Linked DNA regions of Oryctolagus cuniculus. The main gene of each other region encodes a partner of the protein of the gene in region 2 in a complex. Links are inferred from orthologs where the notes say so. Each region holds a gene or a part of one and is shown on either strand. Other genes may lie near its edges. The genes, in order: NCAPG, SMC2, NCAPD2, NCAPH, NCAPD3 and NCAPH2.

Region 1 (4,134 bases), on a different chromosome or scaffold from region 2:
ATTTGGAATCTTATCCTTTAATCTAATAAGCATAGCTTCATTAATTTTATCAAACAAATGATCATCAATCTGGGCATTTTCTGGCATACTTCCCAAAAGCTTGTTTATGAGCTGGCATACTCTAAATCTGACTGCATTGCTATTTGCTTCATGAGACTAAAACAGAAACAAATCAAAATTTATTCACTCATATCATTTTTAAGCAATGCATATGACTTGAACTTTCTATAAGAATTTACAACAGTAACTCCTTAGTTGCAGAAGTGGTTAACGATCACGGTGCAGTAAATAGATATTTTGTATATAATCAAACACAGCCTAGAAGAAATATTTGCTATAACAACACATTGCTCTTGGGGCACTGCCCTGGCTCACTTGGTTACTCCTCCGCCTGCCGAGCCAGCATCCCATATGGGCGCCAGTTCTAGCCCCGGTTGCTCCGCTTCCAGTCCAGCTCTCTGCTGTGGCCAGGCAGGGCAGTGGAGGATGGCCCAAGTGCTTGGGCCCCTACACTGCATGGGAGACTGGGAAAAAGCACCTGGCTCCTGGCTTTGGATTGGCGCAGCACGCCGGATCCAGCAGCCATTTGGGGAGTGGAACCAATGGAAGGAAAACCTTTCTCTGTCTCTCTCTGTCTATTTTGCCTGTCAAATAAAAACAAATAAATAAATAAGAACAAATTGCTCTTTTAGGAACTCTTACTTTATTTCTAAAATAAAGAACTCATTTAAAACAAACATGTAACAAAGGGTTGAGAAGTCATTAAAAATTTAATGCTGGAGTCTTTTGGGGTTTTTTTGGACAGAGTGGACAGTGAGAGAGACAGACAAAGAAAAAGGTCTTCCTTTCCCGTTGGTTCACCCCGCCCCCCGCACTGGCTGCTGTGGCCAGCGGGCTGCAGCCGGTGCACCGCGCTGATCTGAAGCCAGGAGCCAGGTGCTTCTCCTGGTCTCCCATGCGGGTGCAGGGCCCAGACACTTGGGCCATCCTCCACTGCACTCCAGGGCCACAGCAGGGAGCTGGACTGGAAGAGGAGCAACCCGGACAGAATCCTGTGCCCTTACCGGGACTAGAACCCGGTGTGCTGGCGCCGCAGGTGGAGGATTAGCCTAGTGAGCCGCAGCGCAGCTTACTGGAGTCATTTTTTAAGAAACACTTTTTAATCTTAATGATAGTTCTACTATTTCCTATAAAAAGTCAGATGCTTTCTCAATCACCAGACATTTCATTGTCTACAATATATAAACTTTACGGTAAAACCTTCTACAACACTTCTCCAAGGTGTTAGCTTTCAACATACCTGTAAGAGAAAAGTAAACAAATAATTTAAAATGCCACCATCCTCCTCTTCTTCATCATCTTCCATATCTGATTGGTGAAAGGAAGTAACAAACTTTGCTGCAAATTCTATTACTCTCTCCACAGCTGGCTCACGTTTATAGATCACCATAGCATACTTAAGGTAATGGATGAACTCCTCATGAAAAACTGTTTTATCATTCATCTGAAAGACAAAAGATAACTTGCACGAACTGAACTGCACTGGTAATACTTTTTTCCAAAACATTACCTTAACATTGCTGACAGCACCGGCCCTAATTCAAACGAAAAACTTTTTTGTAAACTCTGAAGTATCCACACCAGCAAAAAGGGAAAAATAAGCTTGCACAAACTTCTCTCCACGATGTAATTTGCTTCCCCCAAAGAGTCTGCAACCATAAATTTTGACAGTGAATGGACTCTTTTGATACTTCTTTACATGTCTTTAGAATCACGTTAGTAGAAGCATGCTTCTTCATGGAAAAACTCAAAACCTACGCTGGCTTTTTTATGTACCGTATTTAATTTGCTCATCACCCCGCAATTCCTTTTTGATAAAACTTTCACATCCTACCTCATATCCTCAAAGCCCTTGCTATACTTAGTTTTTCTTAGACTTCAAGATAATCTATCTTCCGAGCTTCATTGTCCTGTTCTTCCCACGGCTTCACTCAAAACAAACACACGGTATTTAGGTGAACAGGAAGGGAAAGGTCCTCGCGAGTAATCTGCTTGGACGCTGGACTCAATTTGACATAGGGCGGGATGAGACTGATTTGATGATGGCTGGCTTTTCTGCTGTGAGCGGGGGCCCGACGGGCAAGGACCACCGAGCCTTGGGGTCCACGACCTACTCGGCGACCCGACACTGAGAGCCCGGACGCCTCGGGTCACCCTCCGGACTAACGGTTCGCGCCGCCCCCATCTCCGGCCGGGGGTAAGGACCGCGAAGAGAAAGTGGACGGCGCCAGGGCTTCCAGCCATTCTGGGCGAGTCGCCCGACCTCTCCGTACTTCACTCCAAAGCGGCTCGCCACAGCGGAGGAGGTGGAGTCGCGCGGGCCGAGTCCGAAGGGTCCCGGGGAAGCTCCTGGGGGAGGCTGAGCCAAGGCAGGGCTGGGCGAAGGCGGCGAAGGGCCCACAGCCATTCCGGCGCTTACCGTGCCGTAGGTGCGGCTCAGCGCCACCACCAGCTTCGCCTGGTTCTGGTGCGGCTGCTGCGCCAGCTGAAAGGCCTCCTTAACCGGCAGCACTCTCTTTTCCGCTCCCATGGCGAGGTGACCCGGCCAGGACTATCCTTGCCCGCTTCAGTGCTTCTGGCCCGACCGCCCCAACACCGAATTCTCCTCAGAACGCCACTTGGGGCGTGGTTACCCGCCAGAACGTTCAAATAACTCTCGCGAGAGAAGGAAATACCGCGAGACTTCCGCGAGCGCGCCAGAGGCGAGAGCGGAGAGAACCGAATCCTGTCCCTCTGGCTCTGCCCGCGCTTTGAGCGCATGCGCGTCGGGTGTTTCCCGGTGGGAAGTGGCGTTTCTAAGGAGAGGGGGCGTTGGCTTGGCCGGAAGTGGTGTCGTCAGGGAGGGCTGGCGGAGCTGCTGTTCTACTTTCGGGACAGGGCTGGTGGCGCTAGGCCTAGCGGGATCGTGCGTCTGGTGGTGAGACGAGAAAAAAAGCTCCTCCATGGGTGAGAACAGGGATCTGCTGAGGGGAACAATCTGTGTTCCCGCCGCAGGGGCGGGAGATGCGGAGAGGAGGGGGAGATGGGGCGTTCGGGAAGCCCGGACCGCAGCCCGGCTGCTCGTGAGCGGGGAGACGCTCCCCGGTAGGCTGAGGGAGGCGTTCCGAGGTCTCCACGGGCCGCGGTCTCTCCAGGGCCCGAGGGGCTGACGTCTGGAAGCAGCGTATGATTTTATTTAGCTGAGCTGGCTCGGGACGTGCCAGCTTTCAAAGCTTAGTTTACAGTCCTGCGTAGCTACAGTGTGTTAAAGGAGAACGGAGAGAATGGGAAAATCTAGCTAAGTGGTCACGGTGAGGAACAGGAACTCAGTCTTTAAAACCTTTTTTGGGGGAGAAAAGTGAAACTGCGTCAGACAAAAACGAATACTTTTATTGGGGGCTGCTTAGGACAAACCACCCCAAAACATGACAGTAGGAGACGAGAACATGCCTCTCTAAAATATACTTGCTGGGCTTATTTTGAGCTGTTATAAGGAACTGCCAGCTCTGGAGGAGCTGTGAAAAGCTATCCTTGAAGTTAGGTCTGTCAAAGAAATTAGGAGACTACTGAACTATCTGTATCTGGAAGAGGACTCCTTCACACTTCTGTTCTCTGCTGATCTATAGTCTCCACACGTTTCCTCTTTGCACCCTCTCATAACTTGTGTCACCACCTCCCAACCAGAAACCCGGTTGCTTTGTGTAGCCCAGGATATTCCGTAAGTGTAAGCTGTCATCTCTTTTTCTGGGACTCCTGTCCCTTACTTTTTGTTGTTGTTGTTGTTGTTGTTTCTGTTGAATCTGTCTTAGGGCAACTTCACTGGTAGACCAGCCAAAGAACCTAGGAAGTTGGAGGGAAGACATTTCTCCCTCCTGTTCCTCACTATGTAGCCATAACCACCTGAAGAAATAGACCCTTACAAAGCTGCCTGTGCATCTTGCTCCTTTTGAGTTGTCTTCCCTCTCTAGAAATAACACTTTTAGACTTTACTGTTAACTTTTAGAGAACAAAAGCTTTCTATATTAAGGACATATAGATAAATCATTGAATGAATATATTCTACTGTTTTGTGTTTTAACCATTTTATGAAGAATC
Region 2 (3,500 bases):
TTCCCCTTAGATGTTCCTGGTGCATGTTGTCTCTCTCCTCCTTTATAGTCCTCTTCCACCAATCCCAACTCTGCTACCCACACGCCGAGTACGCTGCTCTCCTGCAATCAGGAGCAGGTCCTACAGTTTATTGGTTGAACTGGAGGCAGCTGTGTAGAAGCTGTTTCTCCCTTCTCAGCGCCATATTGTGGGAGAGCAGATGCATAGAATAAGTCTTAATTCCAGTAACTTAGTCTAGTCCGAGTTGCTCCCCACATATATTATGACTAAACTGGATTCTCTCTCATACAACCAATAATCTGAATGACTGGCTCTTATTTTAAAGGTACACTAAAACATTCTATGCTCATTGTAACATAAGTTTATGAAAATAAGGCAGAAAATGCTTTAGAGTGCCCTTTAATCCTAAATATCTTAAAAGAATAGTTCTAGAAAAACAGATATTCCACATAAACCACAGCTGAGAATTTTTTTATGGGCCTTACCTGAGAATGTGTGAAATGAGTACGCAGCATCTGCCCAATATTCTGGGTATGAGAAAGATCCAAGGCTGCATCTACCTCATCCAAGATATAAATTGGAGCAGGTTTGAAGAGGAGCATAGACAGTATTAATGACAGAGCCACTAAAGACCTAAGAAAAGTGGAGTTGAAAAAGAACCATTATTTTTTTTACTACTTATCACCAAACCCTAAAGCAAATCTGTAGTCCTATTAGGACAAATAGTACAGTTTTATGATCAAGTCATATAAAGAGTGTTTAAGTTTCAAACTTCAGTATTTTCGTATTAAAATGTTTATTTTAGCTTTTCATTTTCCTTCATGAGCATTCTCCTTTTATAAGACAATTCTGATACTGTCGTATTTTGGTACTTACCTTTATAACTGACTTAGGTGACATTTTCCACTTTTATTATATATACACCTACACTGAGCATGCACACAGATACTATGCATTTTTTCCTTATATTTTTATTTGCTAGTGCATTGTATAGATTATGATCTGTAACTCTAAGTACTTCAGTGTCAGAAGTTCAGCCAATTCTTACCTAGAATTTGTAGTTATACCTTATGCCGAGATTCCATAACCATGATCTATTTTCTTCTAACTTGCTTACCACTCCTTTTAACTGCATCTATTTGCATTCTGATATTGAAATCAGTCTTTATATTTTTCTTTTTTTTTTTTTTTCTTTTTTTTTTTTGACAGGCAGAGTGGACAGTGAGAGAGAGAGACAGAGAGAAAGGTCTTCCTTTGCCGTTGGTTCACCCTCCAATGGCCGCCGCTGCAGCCGGCGCACCGCGCTGATCCTGGCAGGAGCCAGGAGCCAGGTGCTTTTCCTGGTCTCCCATGGGGTGCAGGGCCCAAGCACCTGGGCCATCCTCCACTGCACTCCCTGGCCATAGCAGAGAGCTGGCCTGGAAGAGGGGCAACCGGGACAGAATCCGGCGCCCCAACCGGGACTAGAACCCGGTGTGCCGGCGCCGCAAGGTGGAGGATTAGCCTATTGAGCCACGGCGCCGGCCAAGTCTTTATATTTTTCTTAAATGTATTTCAATTAAAAAGCATTTATAAAATATTTATAAATTATTTGAAAAATACAATTACAAATACCTCTTGTAATACAATTTTATAATAAATAATTCAATGCTTACAGCATTCCAAATGGCTATTAATGAAGCTACCAACTGTGTGTGTGTGTGTGTGTGGAGGAGTGTGCAACAGTGGAAGGGAAACAAGAAATGCATGAAGTCGTACAAGCATATTGAGACTGAACCACTACAGCCAAAAGCTGAGGTCATTCAGGTAACATAAAAAAATATTTTTCTTTAGCTTTCTCTATGCCAAATGCTTAAGACGTTAAGCTTTAAACTTGATCATGGTGTATCCAAAAATAATTTTAAAGTATTTTAGTTATGTAATAATTTATAGGATTCAGTAGGAAGGGGTACATCCATTTTCTATTCTCTTCTAAATGTGTTCTGGGGGAGCCATGTTGTGGCACAGCAAATTAAGCTGCTTGCTGCAATGCTGGCATCCCACAGTGGAACACCAGTTAAGAGTCTCAGCTGCTCCATTTCCAGGCTCCTGGCAGTTGCACCCATTTGGCGAGTGAAGCAGAGGATGGAAAATCTCTTTGCCTCTCAAACAGATAAGTCTTAAAAATAAGTATTTTCTAAATAATGATACTGGGATTTAAATTATGGGATTCAATTTTGATTAACAAACAACTAGAGCTATTTTCACATCTTAACCTATTTAGAAATTGTATCAATCATGAAGTATGAGCTGGAATATATTTCTACTCAAAATCGCAAAGATGTTCATAGGGAAAATCAACAGATCAATATTTTCTACAAATAAGAGTTATAATATGAGAACAAATCAAGGACTAGGAACTGTACATTCTGTAGGAGAAAAAATTACTAAATCAATTTCCATATGTAAATATTTAGAATTTTTCTTGGGAGGGTTTAATTTTTTATCTGGCTGGCTGCAGCAAAGGTCACATGATCTTTTAAGTTTCTTGGTATGCTGAGTTTCTGCATCATTGTTCTCTAAGGCATGTTTTAGCCAACCCTCTTCATTCCCTTAAGTAAACACAAGGTTCCATCTGGTATCATTTTACTTTTGCCTGAGAATTTCCTTCAATCTGTAGTAGTTATAACAAAATGTTTAGCTTTTGTTTTTCTGTAAAAGCATAACACCTTCAATGTGAAGACTTTTTCTGTTAGATACAGAATTCTAGATTGACACATTTTTCTTTGAGCCCTATAGATATCCTAGACTTCTGGACAAGAATTAATTTACCTCTTTTCCCCTGGTTTCTTCTAAGATTTTTCTCCTAATCACTGGCTGTCAGCAATTTTATACATGACTTGCAGGATTACTGTGTTTGTGTTTATCCTACCTGGAATTCATAAAACCAAAATGTATTGGTTTCAGAATTCATTATATCTGCAATATCTGGGATCATTAAATAATGGTATCTTTCTGTCTGCCTTCTTTTGAAACTTCAGTTATATGTATGTCAGGTAGCCTCTCACAGGATATTAAAGCTCTTTAGCTTTAGTTTTTAATTTTTCAGTTTAGCTTAAATAAAATCTACTAATGTATCTTCAAGTTTAAGCATTTTTCTTTCAGAGTCAGATCTGTTACCTCTGGCAGTAAAATTCATTTCAGGTATACTTTTTTATCTTATAGCTTCTCAAGGTAAAAATACTATTAAAATCAAGTAGAACTTAGAATTATTATGTTCATTTTCTTGGTAATTCTTGAAAATAGAGCATCTAACTCTGATTTCCTTGTCTCCTACTTCTGTCATTTCTTGTTCTGTTTCTACTGACTGACTTTTCTGTATAGTCCTTTTTCTTAATTTTTGTCATATTATTTTTATTCGATCCCTAACACTGTGGTTATTACATTGCTTAGTGTCTTTCTTTAAAGAGCACAGGGCTTTGTTCTGATGAACAATTAAATAACATGCAAATCAGTTTGAT
Region 3 (3,500 bases), on a different chromosome or scaffold from region 2:
CAGCCGCCACCAGCACAGGTGCCAGGTGTTCAAAGTGCTGCAGCATCTGAATGATCTTCACAGTGGCACCTGTGGATGTACGCGCATGAGAAATGGTGGGCAAAATGCAAAAGGTAGAGCAGGTGGAGGGATAACTTACTGAGCATGTGGTTATAACGTGTCAGGGCCACACCAAGCAGGTGTGTTATGGCTTCCCGTGTGGGCCGGTTCTTCTGGTGATTGATGGTGGGGTTCTCCAGAAGGCGATAGCAACAGCCAGTAACCAAACTGAGAAATGCAGAAAATAGACAAGCAGATCAGCTGTCTGGATTCATTCCTATCAGGGCCTCTGTTCAATGACTAAAGCCCCCAAAGTTGGAGTCTGCTCATTTTCACCCTCCAAGCGCCTTCTGTATCAAGTTGCTTTGCTGATCCCAGCTGGGTACGTTCCTGCCTTCAAGATCACCAGCACTGTAGAACAGTAGGTAAAGCTGCCACCTGCAATGCTGGCGTCCCCTATGAGCACTCGTTCATGTCCTGGCTGCTTTACTTCCTATCCAGCCAGGCTAAGTCCCAGCCACTCTGCTTCTGATGCAGCTCCCTGCTAATGGCCTGGGAAAGCAGCAGATTGGAGATGGAGCAGCCGGGGCATGAACTGGCACCCGTATGGGATGTAGGTGCAACAGCTGGAGGCTTTACTGGCTACACCATATCAGTCCCACAAATAAATAAATCTTTTAAAAAAATAATAAAATCACAACACTCTGCCATCAAATTACCCATCTCGCTCTTCTTTGTTTCATAGCAATAAACCATAAAACATACATATATATATTTCTTACTTGTTTTAAAATTTGTCTTCTATTGTGTACTATAAACTCCAGGGTCGGGGGACAAGAACATCTGTTTACAGAGCCAATAACAATGGCAGGCACACACCGAGGAGATTCTCTGTAAATACCATCTCATGAATAAATGGGCATGAGAGATGAGAGATTCACATTTGTCTCTAACACTCTGTTATCTACTTTCCAATAGTCCCATGCTGCGATTGTACTAGCATGTATTACAGGCAGAACCGAGGCGTACAGTGAAGTATTTGAGAGGCATTTCTGGCAGCAGAGCCCTCATGGCTCTGGCTTAGCTGTAGCCCTCCTAACTCCTACCTGACAAACTCCTCTTCAATGATTGAGTGGTTCCACAGGTGACGAATATCTAATTGGAGTAGCTGCGTTAAAAGCTGAAGAATTGGTTGTCTCTCTTCCTCCCAATCAAAACCATGCGTTGCCTTGGTCCGGGCTTTCTTACCCTAAAAGGAGCATAAATACACACTTAGGAAAAAAAATAAAGAAACAGAGGGCCAAACTCTGCTGGTCTGAGTGCCCAAACTATCCAGTATCAAGATAAGGTAGAAGGTAACATAGGAGAAGGATCACAGGTACTACTTATCAGGGAAGGAAATGTGAGGATACTTTTGAGTACCTTTTCCTAAATCCTAAGAGGGCAAAAGTATTTTCAGAATCATTGGATTCTCTTCTTTACTCTCAATTCCCCTATCCCCCTAGACCTCATAGGAAGTGAGCCAGGACTCCAAATTACCTTCCCACCAAGGTCCAGGTCCATGTGGTTTGTCTGGCTGGCCATGGTCTCGAAAGATTCCAGGAGGCGTATGAGAACATAGCAGTTCATCTTCAGCGCATTTAGATGGGCATTTCTATCTGATATACTCAAGGTTGCATCATCCAAGATGGCTGGAAGCTCCTGGGAGTGGCGCGACACCACTGTGAGGGGAGAATCCGGGAGTCGGTTTCATTCGCTTTCTTCATGTATTCCAACTTCACGAAATCCAGCACTTGCAGCCATCAGATTACCAAAGATCTGTGTTTCATCTCTCAGTGGCCATGCTATAAGCTAAGTCCTTTGGGACCTCTGACTCCTGACAACCCGAACGTGCTCTGTTCCTGCTCTCTCACTCCAGTTACCCAATTCTCCCTGGCAACTGGAAGATTGACCTCTATTCAAGAGAGGCAGCTCAAAAGTAGGAAACAGTAGTTTGTGTTGGTCTGCCCTTACAGCGAACGCACACTACTCTGTATCGCCCACCAAGATTACAGACCTTAAGATGTCAAAGGTCCCAGGGCTTAGCCAGACCAACTGAATCACAACAGCCTTGATATCATCATGTGGCTGACAAAATGGAAGAAATAATAAACACACAAACCACAGGAACCTTCCGCCCCCTACTCTCTGACCCATAAACACCTTTCATCAGGAATTCCAGAGTATCTTCCTTGAGGCCAGCGTCTATACTTCGAAAGTGACTACAAGGGAAACAAAGTGCGAGGGTGAGACAGGAACCTGCAGAGCCATTGTAGTAGTTCAGATCGAACCTGAGGAATCCTACATTTGACAAACATGGGAAACTGCTCAACGGAATACATACAGCAGCAAATTGGGCAAATGCTGATCAGTAGAGATGTGCACCTATGACCATTTATCCGTGCACTTAGAATCTGGAGTTTCAGGACTAGCATGCGAGGTCAGGGCAATAGCCACCATGTGCCGCTGGGTGTTTCACTTACTGTAAAATGCTGTAGATGGTATCAAAGTGCTGCAGGATAGCCAGGGGCCCCTGAGCTCGGAAGGCAGCCTGAAATGCTACAAAGGATCAAAGAAACTGGTCAATTTGGAAGGGAAAAGAGACCTTTTTGGTAAATTCTATTCATGGCAGAAAACCAGGTTTATTGCTTTAATGGCTAGAATCACAAAAGACAGATGGAAAACTTTTCCTTGAAACCTGCAATAATTATAATGATATATATGTTTTACAATTAAAACCCCAGTTGAGTTTCACTACACATCTAAGCTAGATCCAGCAGACACTCATGCCTATCTCATGGGAAAAGAAACTACGTCTTCATAGTTCTTATGTGACTTGTCCAAGTTATAGCAAACTGAGAACTTTTTAAATTAACTTTTTATTTTGAAATTACGAAAAAGTGGTGTAACAGTACAGTTCCTGTACCTTTCACCTAAATATTGTTAAATCCTATATAACTGTAGTGCAAATATTTATTCCAAATCAAAACATTAACTTTGGGGCCAGTGCTGTGGTATGGCGGGTAAAACCACCGCCTAGAGTGCCAGCATCCCATATGGGCACTGGTTTGAGATCTGGCAGCTCCATTTCCAATCCAGCTCTCTGCTATGGCCTGGGAAAAGCAGTGGAGGATGGCCCAAGTCCTTGGGCCCTTGCACCTGCATGGGAGACCCAGAAGAAGCTCCTGGCTCCTGGTTTCAGATTGGCCCAGTTCCAGCCATTGTGGCCATTTGGGGAGTGAACCAGCGGATGGAAGATCTCTCTCTCTGCCTCTCTGTAACTCTGCCTTTCAAATAAATAAGCTGCTGCCTGTGATGCCATCATACCACATGAGCACAGGTTAGAGTCCCCGCTGCTCTATTTCTGATTCAGCTCCTTGCTAGCGTGCCTGGGAAAGCAGCAAAAGATGGCCCAAATGCTT
Region 4 (4,126 bases), on a different chromosome or scaffold from region 2:
TGATTATGCAGAATGTCAACACTGTTAGTAAATGCATAAGAAACAATTTAGGGGTGAAGTACAACTTACTTTTAACTGAATCGGTCAAAACTCCCGTAAAGTATAGATGGCAAAATGCTAACAATTGCTGGATCGGCATCAGAGCATCAGGGTCTTATTGTATCAGTCTTTCAACTTCCCTGGATGCTTGAATATTTTCATAATAAGAAGTTAGAAAATATACGGCACAGAGCCAAATGCTATGAAAAAAAAGTTTGTTTTTTTTTTTTTTTCTTCAAAGCAGGAGGTGGGAGGTCAGGAAAGGCTCTCTCTTGGGGAAACAGGTAGGGGAGCAGGTACAACAGACATGTGGATGTTCTGGTTTGATTATTTTTTTTAAGATCTGACAGGTAGAGTGAGAGAGACAGGGAGAGGGAGGGTTCACTCCCCAAATGGCCGCAACTGCTGGGGCTGGTTCAGGCCAAATCAGGAGCCTGGAGCACCGACCCGGGTCCCCGCCGTGGGTGGCAGGACCCAAGCACTTGGTCCATCGTCCTCTGCTTTCCCCAGCACAGCAGCAGGCAGCTGAAGCGGAGCAGCTGGGACTTGAACTGTGCTCCTATATGGGATGCTGACGTCAGAGTCAACAGCTTAACCCACTGTGCCACAACGATGGCCCTGCTTTCATTTACTCGGCAAAACAGAAGTGAACACAAAGCACCAGCAGCTGAGGGGAGGGTGGGAGAGACGGTGTTAGAGGAGAAAGGGGAGGCAGGAAACAGTGAATGAAACAGGGAAGCAGCGCGGCTGCTGGGTAGCTCTAGGACCCCGAGACCACTCAGCGTGGCTGGTGTTTCTCTCCCACCATCGTCAGGTGTGCGGGGCAGGCAAGGTCGGGATTAGCCAGGGTTGTGAGAGCGGTCAGTGAGCAGTTATGAGGAAGCCAGGAGGCAAGGGAGGAGTTATGCGGACTTAGCAGGGATGCAAGCCAAGATGGGACCAAGGATGTGCGAGCGGTGAGCGACAGGGAGAAGCAGAATATAGGTCTGCTGGATCACAATACTGTCAGAGCCGGAAAGACAAAGGTGGCACTGAGAGGCAGGGTATTGAAAACTGAGATGACGGAGTGATGGGCTATTGTTTAATGACAAGGTCTAGGGTGCGACTCTGGTAGTGAGTGGCTATGGTCCACTACAGTGGAGCAAGAAACAGGATCCCTGGAAAACAAAGGAAGAACTGGGAGACCGTGGGAGAGTTTGCAGATGTCAGAGTCAGAGACCTGGCTTCAAACCCAGCTGTCTCTCTTACCAGCTGGGGAGAGGTCAAGTAAATGCTCAAGGCACTTGCTGCTTCATCTTCCTAATGGGAATAAGGATAAGGATCCCAGCTGGTTCAGAACTGGTGATACAGAAAATATGCAAAATCTATTTTATAGGAACATATTAAAAATGAAGGGACGGGGCAGGTATGAGTGTTTCGGCTGCTGGTTTGGATACCCACAGCCCTAGGTTCAAGTCCTGGCTCCATTTGTGAGTCCAGCTTCCTGCTCACGTGGACCCTGGAAGGCAGTGGCAGTGGTGGCTCAAGTAGCTGGCTTCCCTCTACCCATGTGGGAGACCTGGATTGTGTCCCCAGCTCCTGGTTTTGCCCTGGCCCAGTCCTGGCCATTGTAGTCATTTGGAAGGCAAACCAGCTGATAGGAGCTCTGTCTCTCAAATAAACAAAAATAAACATTTTAAAAGTGATACATTGGGGCCAGTGCCAGCGCTGTGGCATAGCAGGTAAAGCCGCCACCTGCCGTGCCGGCATCCCATATAGGCACTGATTCAAGTCCCAGCTGCTCCACTTCTGATCCACCTCTGTTGTGGCCTGGGAAAGCAGTAGAAGATGGCCCAAGTCCTTGGGTCCCTGCACCCACATGGGAGACCTGGAAGAAGCTCCTGGCTTCCGGCTTCGGATCAGCGCAGCTCTGGCCATTGCAGCCAATTGGGGAATGAGCCAGTGGATGGAAGACCTCCTCCGTCCCCACTTCCCTTCTAACTCTGCCTTTGCCTTTCAAATAAATAAATATTTAGAAAAACAAAAGTGATACATCAATGAAACAACAAATAGGAGTGATGAACAAGGATAAAACAAGAACCTCACATGTTCCCTGGTGACAGAAGAGTAGGACTAAGTAAACTCTCACCTGAGGTCAAAACAAACAAGAAGTCAAAACAGGAAAGAGGCAAAAGACATTTTTAGAAACAAAATCAAGAGGACTTGTGACCCTTTGGAGGCAGGCACTGTAGGGAGCTGGACCTTGGGACAAGAAACCGTAACAAACAGTACTGAAGGGAGCACCTGTCCCGGAGGGAAACAGTTGAGAACGAAAGGCAGGTCCCAGCTCCCCAGATCTTTCCCTGATTGCGTGTCTCTCTCTCTCTCTCTCTCTCTCTCTCTCTCTCTCTCTGGCAGCATTTGAGACAGCTGCCGACTCCGTCCTTTTCGGAACCACTCTTGGATTCCGCAATACCTCTCTCTCCCCAGTTTTTCTACCCTCTTCTAAATGCTGGTCCCAGGTGCACTCTGGCCCAGGTCTTCCTAGCGTTCTCAGCCGTCGCCATGGCTTTATGATCTAAATGACGATGACCAAATGTCTCAGTCCACGGGCCTAAGGTTCTAAGAGGCCAGGGATTTTTAATCTGTTCTTCTCTTTACATGCATGCACGCTAAACATACAGTGGTAACCACAGCCGTGCCGCCGCGCTGCAAATGACAGACATCTCTCCCGAGAAATTCGCCCGTTCAACGGCCAGAAAAGCCAGCAAGGTGCAGGGCCGCGGAACGCAGGAGCCGGCCAGCCCCGCGCGCGCCCACCGCCCGCCGAGCCCTCGCCTCCCCGTCTCCGCGAACCGGGCCGCGCTCGGCGCCCGCTCTCCCCGCGCCCCGAGCACCGCTTCACAGCGGCCCCTGAGCACCGTGCCTCCCCCGGGCCCCGGCCTCACCTGGGTAAGGAGGACCCATCTTGCCTTCGAGGGCTCCGAGACGCATTTAAATCGCGCGCGCCTGGACGCCCGGGCGGCGTAACGGCCGCGTGACGTCCCTCGTGGGCGGGGCCAGAAGTGCGCCTGCGCAGACCGCTCGCTCCGTTGGCGGGGTTCCTGCCGGTGTAGCCGCGGAAGTGAGGCGGCCTGGGCTGAGGGGCCAGGCCCTGGGGCGTACTCCGGGGGAGGCCCATGGAGTGGTTGTCATGGTGTAGATGCCCCCTCCTTCTGAGCGCCAGGCGCGGAACTGTGCGCTGGGGACCGAGCGTCGATCTGGACAGCCGAGGGCTCTGCTATCGCGGCATCCCTAAAAGGGAGGCGGATCCCCGAAGAACCAGGTGTCGCTGGACCGGTACCTTGAGGGCCGCAAAACGCTAAGGAGATGCTAAGTGAAGACGGGGTGTGTGTGGGTTGGAAGCAGCGAGAGCGAGCCCGCTCCGGAATGAGGCACTTTGGGGGGCAGAGGGGAGGACGGGTGCAAAATCAACGTTGTGTACTTTTTAAAATTATTTTTATAAGTGAAGCCCATCGTTTTCACTGATTCTTGTGAAAGTCTCCCTGGAAACCACTCCCCCCTTCCAGTGAAAGGTTGGAGAAGTGAGGGGGGTATAAGGTGCCCCTGTCCGTTCTGCTTCCCCTGGCCAAGGATTGTATTTAGGGGAGAAAGGCCATGGCGATTCCCCCGATAACCCTAAAGCCTCCTGTAATTTTTTTTTTAAGATTTATTTATTTATTTGAAAGACAGAGTTACAGAGAGAGGTAGAGCCAGAGAGAGAGAAAGGTCTTACGTTCCGCTGGTTCACTCCCTAAATGACCACAACAGCCGAAGCTGAATCGATCCGGTGCCAGGAGCTTCCAGGTCTCCCATGCGGGTGCAGGGGCCCAAGGACCTGGGCCATCCTCCATTGCTTTCCCAGGCCATAGCAGAGAGCTGGATGGGAAGTGGAGCAGCCAGGACTTGAACCGGCGCCCATATGGGATGCCGCCACTGCAGGCTGGAGCTTTAACCCACTGCCCTACAGCTCCGGCCTCCCTCCTATAATTTCTTGTCACACACATCTGGAGTCTTTTACAGTGTTTCTTCTCAAGCATGCTGTTGGCATTCAGGGTGAAACAGTTCT
Region 5 (3,500 bases), about 80 Mb from region 2:
GCCCAGGCACCAGTCCTTTCCTTAGGGTCTCCTGTGAGTTATGATGCCACGGACAGTGTACAGTCAGGACTCACAGTGCATGTGGGTTTACTTAGCAATACCCAGGTCACACAGGCCTGTGACGATTGTAGAGAGGATGGGGGGTCTGGCCAGAGGCTCCCCTAAAGCTGTCCTTTCCTCACGTGGCAGAGTCTGTGACGAGCTGACTCGCTGTGCTGAGCAGGTGAGTCCTAGTGGGGTTGAATTCCATTTTGAAGACTTTCTCGACTGGGATCTGTGACAGAGTCATCATCTCAGCACTTCCTGTGAAGGGTATTGCAGTCCCAGATTGGCAAGCTCAGGGAGTCACTGCCCTGTCCTGTGACAGCATGTCTGGGGACTTGGGCACCAGCCACCAACCTGGGCAACACCATCCCTGGGCTGGAGATTCTATTATGCAATAGGAGAACCCCGAGAAGCTCCATGCAGGCAAAGCCATGGTGTGTTTACTCACAGTACAGACCTAAACAAGCCCTCAGATTTTTCTGGAAAAATCTTTCACCCAGAAATTATTCCAGCATTTTTTCCTTTAATTGAACGGAGTCATTTCTCTGTTCACATTATGCATTTTTCCTCTTGAAAGAATTTTCTTTTTCCAAAAATTGCTACAGCAAAATTGACATTGTATTGACATAGTATTTCAAATAGCTTTTATCCTAGGGAAGTTAAGGTGGGAAAGATAGGCTCACTGCATGGAAAAAATGAGAACTTTAGATTACTTTATATTTATTTTTTTTTTTAATTTTTATTTGAAAGGCAGAAAGACAGGGACAGACAGGCGCAGAGAAAGAGAGAGATTTCCCATCTGCTGGTTCACCTACAACAGCCAGGATGGGCCAGGTCAAAGCCAGGATCCTAAAACTCAATCCAAGTCTCCCATGTGGGTGGCAGGGACCCAACTACTTGAGCCATCACTACTTCCTCCCAGGGGTGCACATTAGCAAGAAGCTAGAATCAGGAGCAGAACCAGACTCAAACCCAGGCACTCCAGTATAAGATGTGAACATCCTAAGCGTCATGTTAGCCACTGCCAAACGTACACCCCATTCTTACATTTTTATTGCCCTGTTTTAAGCCTCAGGGGAAAAAAAAGGCACTGAGAAGCTAATGAGACCACCTAAACACTTCAGACAAGCATACACCTATTTCTGATCACATCTGCAGAGGGTGCCCCAAAGGTGCTTTATGTCTGTGGCTGCCATGATTCTCTTCCTCCTCTGTGGAACCCACTCTTAGTAGCAGCTGAAAGGGAGGGTGGGTTTCCCTCCTCCCTCCCAGCTGGAGCAGCCGTGGATCCTTGTCTCCCTGCAATGCTGTTCTCTGCTGTGGTTTCTCTTAGGAGTGAGGCTGTGTCCCTGGCAGCCCCCTGGAAGACCTGAGAATGTCTTACCCAGGTGGACCTAAATCTTCGCAGGAGGGCACAGAGATGGGACCCAGGCATGGCCATGGTCAATGGGGAGCCAGAGGGGGACACTAACCAAGACAGATGAGCACTCTCAGGCTGCACCATGTCCTGTAACACACCCAGGAACCTTGTCTAAGCCAGAACCGTGACTTTCCCCCAGGAGGCACTGGGAGGTTGGCCTGACGGGAAGCAGAGACGAGAAGCTTCCTAAGAGATCAGAGCTATTAGTGAAATCTCACAGCCTGTTCACTTGTTTCTGTGGTCCACGCTAAGAGCAGTTAGTGTTTCCTTGATGTGTTAACCTGTTAGTTACTGCAGTAGAAAGGCTGTCCTCAGAAATAGGAGTCTTATTTATAAAATAGGCTTGTTTTTCTACCCAAGGAAACATTAAAGGATGCTTCTGGTGTGTTGTAGGAGGTGATGCAGGATTACCGGGATGAAGTCAAGGACTTCTTCGCTGTTGACAAACAACTGGCATCAGAACTTGAGTACGACATGAAGAAGTACAACGAACAGCTAGCCCAAGAGCAAGAGCTGGCCAAACTGGCGGAGGCGACTAGGACCACAGACAGTGCCGACGGGGCGCAAGCAGTGCAGGTAGACAGGAGGCTTCCACCTTAAGCGTGACCAGGTCTCCAGTCTGCCCTCTGCGGCAAGAGTCAGACCTTATGCTGCCTGCTGGCCACGGCCCAGTTCCTTTGTTGCCTGTGATACCTTGAGGCCTGCCCTCCCCCAGGGCCGTGTCACAGGGACTCCCGGGGAAGTCTTGTGATAGGAATGTGGAGAAACTTACACATGCCCAGAGAGCAAGATGCCACCAGGGGGCAGAACTTCTGATGCCCAAGGCTGTGGACACCCAGGTCTCTTTGACGTGCTGAGTATTTGCAGTCTTTTCACCTCTTAGGGTACGGTGTCCCCTGGGGTCTTGCTGGGTTCCCTGCTCCCCACATTCACTGTGTTCTCCCTGCCCTGGGGATTCCAGACAGATCTGCTCTGTTAAAAAGAGAAGAGGACGAACTGCACTTCCCGTTGTTTTTAATGCTACATCTCGCAGGGCAGTTTTCTAGTAGTTCTCTGTTTCTGAAGAGAAAGTTCTGCTTGCCTAGGGCTGATGCGATATTAAGATACATTTTGTATGGACTTGCTCACAGCACATGACAATTCGATTCCTTTTCTCTTAACAGGCTGCTCCAGGCTTAGAAACGCCAGCTCCCCCTGGCCAAGAAAATCCTGCTGTGCTCCCTGCCGTGCGCCAGCCCTCAACTCCCTGGTCAAGCACTGGCCATGCACCAACCTTGCCTCCTACACAAGAAATGGGACCATTGAAAATGTTAATGCCCAAAGCCAGGTAGAGAGCTCAGTGTGGCAGCCAAGGACGGTTCTCCACTACCGTCCCCAGGATCTGCTGTCCCCGCCAGGCATCAGCACACCCTCCCTTAGAGGTCAAGGCACGTGCGGATGAGCCGTGCTCTGGGAAGGACATGGGAAGGCACGGTGGTGTCTGTGCTGCCTCTGCAGGGCCTGCACTGTGAACGTCCCCATGTGTGGCTTCTTGTTCTCCACAGGCCCATGTCCCTGAGCACCATTGCGATCTTGAATTCCGTCAAGAAAGCAGTGGAGTCAAAGAGCAGGCATCAGAGCCGGAGCCTGGGAGTTGTGCCTTTCGCTTTAAATTCTGAAAGCCTGGACAAAACAAGCAATCACGGTAAGCCTTTGGGTTGGCCCCAGACAGAGTGAGAGCTTACAAATAAAACAGGCTGCTACTTACTCCTTTTAAAATGGTTTCTGTTTTCCCATCTTTAAACAATATTAATTGAAGATTTAGGATTGTGGGTAATAAAGCAGTGTATATTTGTGCTAAGAGATTTGGCAAATGGAGCAAACTCCAGACCTCACCATGGCAGTGTTCCTACTGCACACACAGTTTTGTTTATACATTTACTTGTATCATTTATAAATAATCTGCTTCCCTGTGCACACAATAATAAGCAGTGAGTGAGATTTTCTCCATGAACTCTTCTTTCAGAACTTCCACTAGTGATTCTGTAGCATTCCA
Region 6 (4,094 bases), on a different chromosome or scaffold from region 2:
GAAACGGATGGAACACAGCAGGCAGGTGAGGAGCCACCACCGTGCACCGAGGCGTCGGCAGAGGCAGGACCCAGCTCTGGGGAGTGAGCCTCCCGGGCACCACGGCAGCACCCAGAGGGGAGGAGCTGCTTCCACTGACGATGAACAACAAGGGCGCCTGGGTCAGCCGCCGGACGAGGACACAGGAGCAGGACAGGACAATCAAGCAGCCCTCCTGCTGTGACCCCAGCCCCGCCAGCACACCTGCTCCCAGGACCCCACACCCAGTGCCTCCTTCAACACCACACCGGACGCCTACGGAACAAGTGCAGCTGAACCCGATGCCCCGCCCACCCACACCCAGACGCTCGAGCAGCTCCTCTCACCCCACCAACCCCTGCCAATTCCACGTCCCCCTCCCGGGAGGGCCTCTGCACGCCAGTGTTCCTGCTGCTCTGCTCCCTCACTGCACCCACCAGCAGTACTCACGCTGCTCCACTCAGACGCCTACCGGCTCCCGGCACACTCGGCAAGCACCTCCCTCTCCGAGCACCCCTACCCTGCTCACCGCATGGCAGTCCCACAGGGCCCCCTGCACCGGGCACCCTCCCACCCCAGAACCTTCAGACACAGGCTCCCTCCACCTGGACGACCAGGCCTGGGGGCAGGCGTCCGGCCGAGCAGCTCAGGTGCCCGTGTCCCGCAGCAGAGAGCGTGGGTCTGGTCCCAGCTCCAGCCCCTGCCCCTGCCCCTGCAGGAATGCAGCCGCGAGAGCTCAAACAACTGGGTGCCCGCCACCCGCACGGGACAGCCGGACCGAGTTCCCAGCTTCGCAGGCTGAGGACAGGTCACAGCGAGGCTGAAACAGACGGAGGGAGGAACTCTGGATTTTAACCTGAGTGCAGGAAAACACACGAGGGGTTTTAGGCAGGGAACTCTTTTTTTTTTTTTTTTTTTTTACAGGCAGAGTGGACAGTGAGAGAGAGAGACAGAGAGAGAAAGGTCTTCCCTTGCCGTTGGTTCACCCTCCAATGGCCGCCGCGGCCGGCGCACCGCACTGATCTGATGGCAGGAGCCAGGAGCCAGGTGCTTCTCCTGGTCTCCCATGGGGTGCAGGGCCCAAGCACCTGGGCCATCCTCCACTGCACTCCCTGGCCACAGCAGAGAGCTGGCCTGGAAGAGGGGCAACCGGGACAGAATCCGGCGCCCCGACCGGGACTAGAACCCGGGGTGCCGGCGCCGCAGGCGGAGGATTAGCCTAGTGAGCCGCGGCGCCGGCCGGAACTACTCTTTTCTTTTAAAGATTTATCGGGGCCAGCACTGTGGCACTGTGGCATAGCAGGCTAAGCCTCTGCCTGTGGCACTATCATCCCATACGGGCGTGAGTTCGTGTCCCAGCTGCCCCTCTTCCAATCCAGCTCTCCGCTATGGCCTGGGAAAGCAGCAGAGGATGGCCCAAGTCCTTGGGCCCTGCACCCATGAGGGAGACCTGGAAGAAGCTCCTGATCAGCACAGCTCCAGCCATTTGCGGAGTGAACGAGTGGATGGAAGACCTCTCTCTCTGTCTCTGTCACTCTGACTCTCAAATAAATAAAGTCTTTGGAAAAAAAGGCAACTTTTAAAAAATGTACTTATCCAAAAGGCAGAGTAACAGAGAGAAGGTAACTTCCACCTGCACTCCCCAGGTGGTGACGGTGGGCCTGGGCCAAGCTGAAGCCTGGAACTCCATCCAGGTCTCCCAGGCGGGTGCAGGGGACAAAGCAACCGAGCCATCTTCCACTTCTCTCCCAGGTTCCTCAGCGGGAAACCGGCTCCGAAGTGGAGCAGCCGCGACTCCTGGGGCCACAACGCTGACCGCCAGGCAGTATTTACAGCCATGGAAAGCCGGCGGGCGTCCAGGGCGACAGGAAGCCTGGGCCCCGCCACAGGGCCGGGCTTGAGTCCTGGCTCCTCTGCTTCCTGCCGAAGCACGCTCCGCACCAGATGGTGGCCAAGCACCTGGGTGCCCCGGATCGAGTTCTGGGCTCCTGGCTTCAGCCCATCTCTGGCTGCTGTGGGTATTCGGGAAGCAAACCAGAGAATGAAAACGGTCTCTCTGCCTTTCGAATAAAGTGGAAATACAACCACCGAAATGAGACTGTGCAGGAAAACGTGCCAGAAGGGGACCCGAGCCGCCCCCTCCCCCGGGATCTCAACACTCCGGAGAAAAACAAGCACAAAAATAGGAAGAAACCTTCGTCGCCGCTGTTTCAAGGCGGAGGGAGCTGCTGGGCGAGGACCCTGCGGGCGCTGACGTCAGGACCCGAGCGCGGGTGAAGCGGCGGGGTCCCGGCAGGCGACCCGCCCCAGGCACAGAACCCCGAGAACGCCGCAGCCCTCTCGCCTCCTCCCTCCCGACGGCGGCCGCCGCCTACCGAACCGGTTCCACAGCTCCCAGCAGTAGCAGCTCCGGGTGCATTGACAGAGGAACGGGGGGGCGGGGCGCCACAGCAAGCCTGAGGCCGAGCGCGGCCACGGACGCGGAGGCAGCGGGGTCCCCGGCGGCCCCCGGTCCGCGTCGCCGCCCCGCGCCATTCCCCCGCCGCCCTCACCTCCTCCAAGTACTCGCCCAGCTGGGCCGCCACGTCCACCTCCCAGTTCTTGGTGAGGTCGCGGATGGGCTGCAGGAGGTGGGCGAAGCGCGCCTCCACGTCCTCCATGTCCGGGAGGGGGCCGGGCGGCCCGAAGGCCACAGGGCGGGCGTCCGAGGGGGGCCCGCGTCCTCAGCCCGCCACTAGTTCTGGCGCCATTTTGCTGTTTCCCGCCCAGGAAGTACGCGTGCGCGGCGCGGCGCGTGCTTATGACGTCACCGCGGCTGGCGCTCCGCGCGGGGAACTCCGGCGCCGGGTGGCGGAAACGCCCAGGGAGGGCCGCGGGGCGCGCGGGGCGGGGCGGGGCGGGGCGGGGCGGGGCCGGGCCGGGCCGGCGTGGGCTCTGCTCCAGCGGGCCGCGTAGCGGACATGGCGGGCTCCCGGCTCCCGCGGCAGCTCTTTCTGCAGGGCGTGGCGGCGATCTTCATGTTCGCCTTCGCCTCCCTGTACATGCAGATCCCGGGTGAGGGAGCCGAGGGCGCGCGGGTCCTCTCGCCCGCTCCTCTCCCGCGCCGTCCGCAGGCGGGGGAGGGTCCGGCCTTGCGCGAGGGGTAGAGGCAGCGGTGGGCGTCCCGCGGGGCCGCAAGACGCGCCGTGGGCGTGACGCCACCCGGAGCGGGCGCCGGTGGCCTCGGTGCGGACCGGGCTCTGGCCGGCGGATGAGGACGGGGGCCCCGTGGGGGCGGGGGCGGGGGCCGGGGGGCCGCCCCCGCGGACCTCGGCTGGGGAGGGCTGGCCGGGGGCCCCGGAGCGGGCGGGTTCGGCCTGACGCGCCTTCCCACAGGCTTGTACGGCCCCGAGGGCATCCTGCCCGCGCGGAGGACGCTGCGCCCACAGGGCAAGGGGCGCCTGCAGCAGCTGTGGGAGACCCCGACGCTGCTGTGGGAGGCTCCCGTGCTGGGGCTGGACACCGCCCAGGGCCTGGAACTGCTCAGCCTGCTGGGCACGCTGCTGGCCCTGGGTGCCCTGCTGCTGCGCCCGCTGCGCCACCTCCTGGTCTACCTGCTTCTGTGGGCCGCCTACCTGTCGGCCTACCAGGCAAGTGGGGCTGCTGGCCGCCCTGCCGCACCGGGGGGGGGGGGGGGGGGGGGGGGGCATCGCGCGACCACTGCAGCCCGCCCCGCCCCGCACTGCGCAGACGCACACGCCTGCCCCTGACACCTCTTCTCCCCGCAGGTGGGCCAGGTGTTCCTTTATTTCCAGTGGTGAGTGGCTGCTGGGCAAGGGGGCTGGGCAGAGTGGGGGGTTTGTTCCTCGGGCACAGTCTTGATGGGGAAGGGTCCTTTGTGCTGTTTGGTGTCCCCGCAGGGATTCCCTGTTGCTGGAGACGGGCTTCCTGGCTGTGCTGGTGGCCCCGCTGGGGTGGCCCCTCTGCCGACGCCGCAAGCAGGCCCCCCAGGGCCGGTCGGAGGGGGCCTCACCCCACGAGGGCCTCCCCTTCTGGCTGGTGCGCTGGCTGCTGTTTCGCCTCATGTTCGCCTCAGG

The links.
Region 1: SMC2 (region 2) and NCAPG share a complex: the UniProt entries of both Homo sapiens proteins name them as parts of the condensin complex. The link is inferred for Oryctolagus cuniculus from reciprocal best matches to the Homo sapiens genes SMC2 and NCAPG.
Region 3: SMC2 (region 2) and NCAPD2 share a complex: the UniProt entries of both Homo sapiens proteins name them as parts of the condensin complex. The link is inferred for Oryctolagus cuniculus from reciprocal best matches to the Homo sapiens genes SMC2 and NCAPD2.
Region 4: SMC2 (region 2) and NCAPH share a complex: the UniProt entries of both Homo sapiens proteins name them as parts of the condensin complex. The link is inferred for Oryctolagus cuniculus from reciprocal best matches to the Homo sapiens genes SMC2 and NCAPH.
Region 5: the proteins of SMC2 (region 2) and NCAPD3 are in contact, whole or in part, in a cryo-EM structure (PDB 9F5W), measured with the Homo sapiens proteins. The link is inferred for Oryctolagus cuniculus from reciprocal best matches to the Homo sapiens genes SMC2 and NCAPD3. Residues at the interface, in NP_001036015.1 of Homo sapiens: Arg112, Ala122, Asn123, Asn124, Thr125, Arg126, Leu218, Lys222, Arg225, His229, Trp940, Asn942, Ala943, Glu944, Phe948, Arg981, Met985, Arg986; in NP_056076.1 of Homo sapiens: Asp31, Met72, Ile80, Pro127, Gly128, Ala131, Phe135, Pro137, Asp141, Lys235, Gln237, Gln240, Leu1121, Asn1196, Asn1200, Pro1203.
Region 6: the proteins of SMC2 (region 2) and NCAPH2 are in contact, whole or in part, in a cryo-EM structure (PDB 9F5W), measured with the Homo sapiens proteins. The link is inferred for Oryctolagus cuniculus from reciprocal best matches to the Homo sapiens genes SMC2 and NCAPH2. Residues at the interface, in NP_001036015.1 of Homo sapiens: Leu93, Thr125, Gln128, Asp129, Cys132, Gly135, Leu136, Asn137, Met173, Tyr174, Lys177, Lys178; in NP_689512.2 of Homo sapiens: Glu46, Phe53, Ile54, Glu55, Leu58, Leu59, Gly62, Ser63, Ala64, Cys65, Val66, Lys69, Tyr73.

The regions. Positions count from the first base shown.
Region 1 is NC_091433.1:12,948,446-12,952,579, reverse strand, and holds the start of NCAPG (condensin complex subunit 3), read right to left. Parts: upstream 2,801-4,134; 5' UTR 2,591-2,800; coding exon 2,480-2,590; intron 1,505-2,479; coding exon 1,301-1,504; intron 157-1,300; coding exon 1-156. UniProt on the Homo sapiens protein: Regulatory subunit of the condensin complex, a complex required for conversion of interphase chromatin into mitotic-like condense chromosomes.
Region 2 is NC_091432.1:207,964,379-207,967,878, reverse strand, and holds part of SMC2 (structural maintenance of chromosomes protein 2), read right to left. Parts: intron 634-3,500; coding exon 486-633; intron 1-485. UniProt on the Homo sapiens protein: Central component of the condensin complex, a complex required for conversion of interphase chromatin into mitotic-like condense chromosomes.
Region 3 is NC_091440.1:102,990,232-102,993,731, forward strand, and holds part of NCAPD2 (condensin complex subunit 1), read right to left. Parts: intron 2,638-3,500; coding exon 2,562-2,637; intron 2,301-2,561; coding exon 2,242-2,300; intron 2,168-2,241; exon of another isoform or gene 1,837-2,167; intron 1,761-1,836; coding exon 1,579-1,760; intron 1,289-1,578; coding exon 1,146-1,288; intron 268-1,145; coding exon 140-267; intron 70-139; coding exon 1-69. UniProt on the Homo sapiens protein: Regulatory subunit of the condensin complex, a complex required for conversion of interphase chromatin into mitotic-like condense chromosomes.
Region 4 is NC_091433.1:111,235,354-111,239,479, forward strand, and holds the start of NCAPH (condensin complex subunit 2), read right to left. Parts: upstream 2,801-4,126; 5' UTR 2,701-2,800; intron 187-2,700; 5' UTR 140-186; coding exon 70-139; intron 1-69. UniProt on the Homo sapiens protein: Regulatory subunit of the condensin complex, a complex required for conversion of interphase chromatin into mitotic-like condense chromosomes.
Region 5 is NC_091432.1:128,339,788-128,343,287, reverse strand, and holds part of NCAPD3 (condensin-2 complex subunit D3), read left to right. Parts: intron 1-1,858; coding exon 1,859-2,041; intron 2,042-2,628; coding exon 2,629-2,792; intron 2,793-3,009; coding exon 3,010-3,149; intron 3,150-3,500.
Region 6 is NC_091442.1:123,428,165-123,432,258, reverse strand, and holds the start of NCAPH2 (condensin-2 complex subunit H2), read right to left. Parts: upstream 2,801-4,094; 5' UTR 2,679-2,800; coding exon 2,571-2,678; intron 1-2,570. Other genes in the region: LMF2 (lipase maturation factor 2), read left to right, coding at 2,979-3,072, 3,394-3,647, 3,786-3,814, 3,918-4,094. UniProt on the Homo sapiens protein: Regulatory subunit of the condensin-2 complex, a complex that seems to provide chromosomes with an additional level of organization and rigidity and in establishing mitotic chromosome architecture.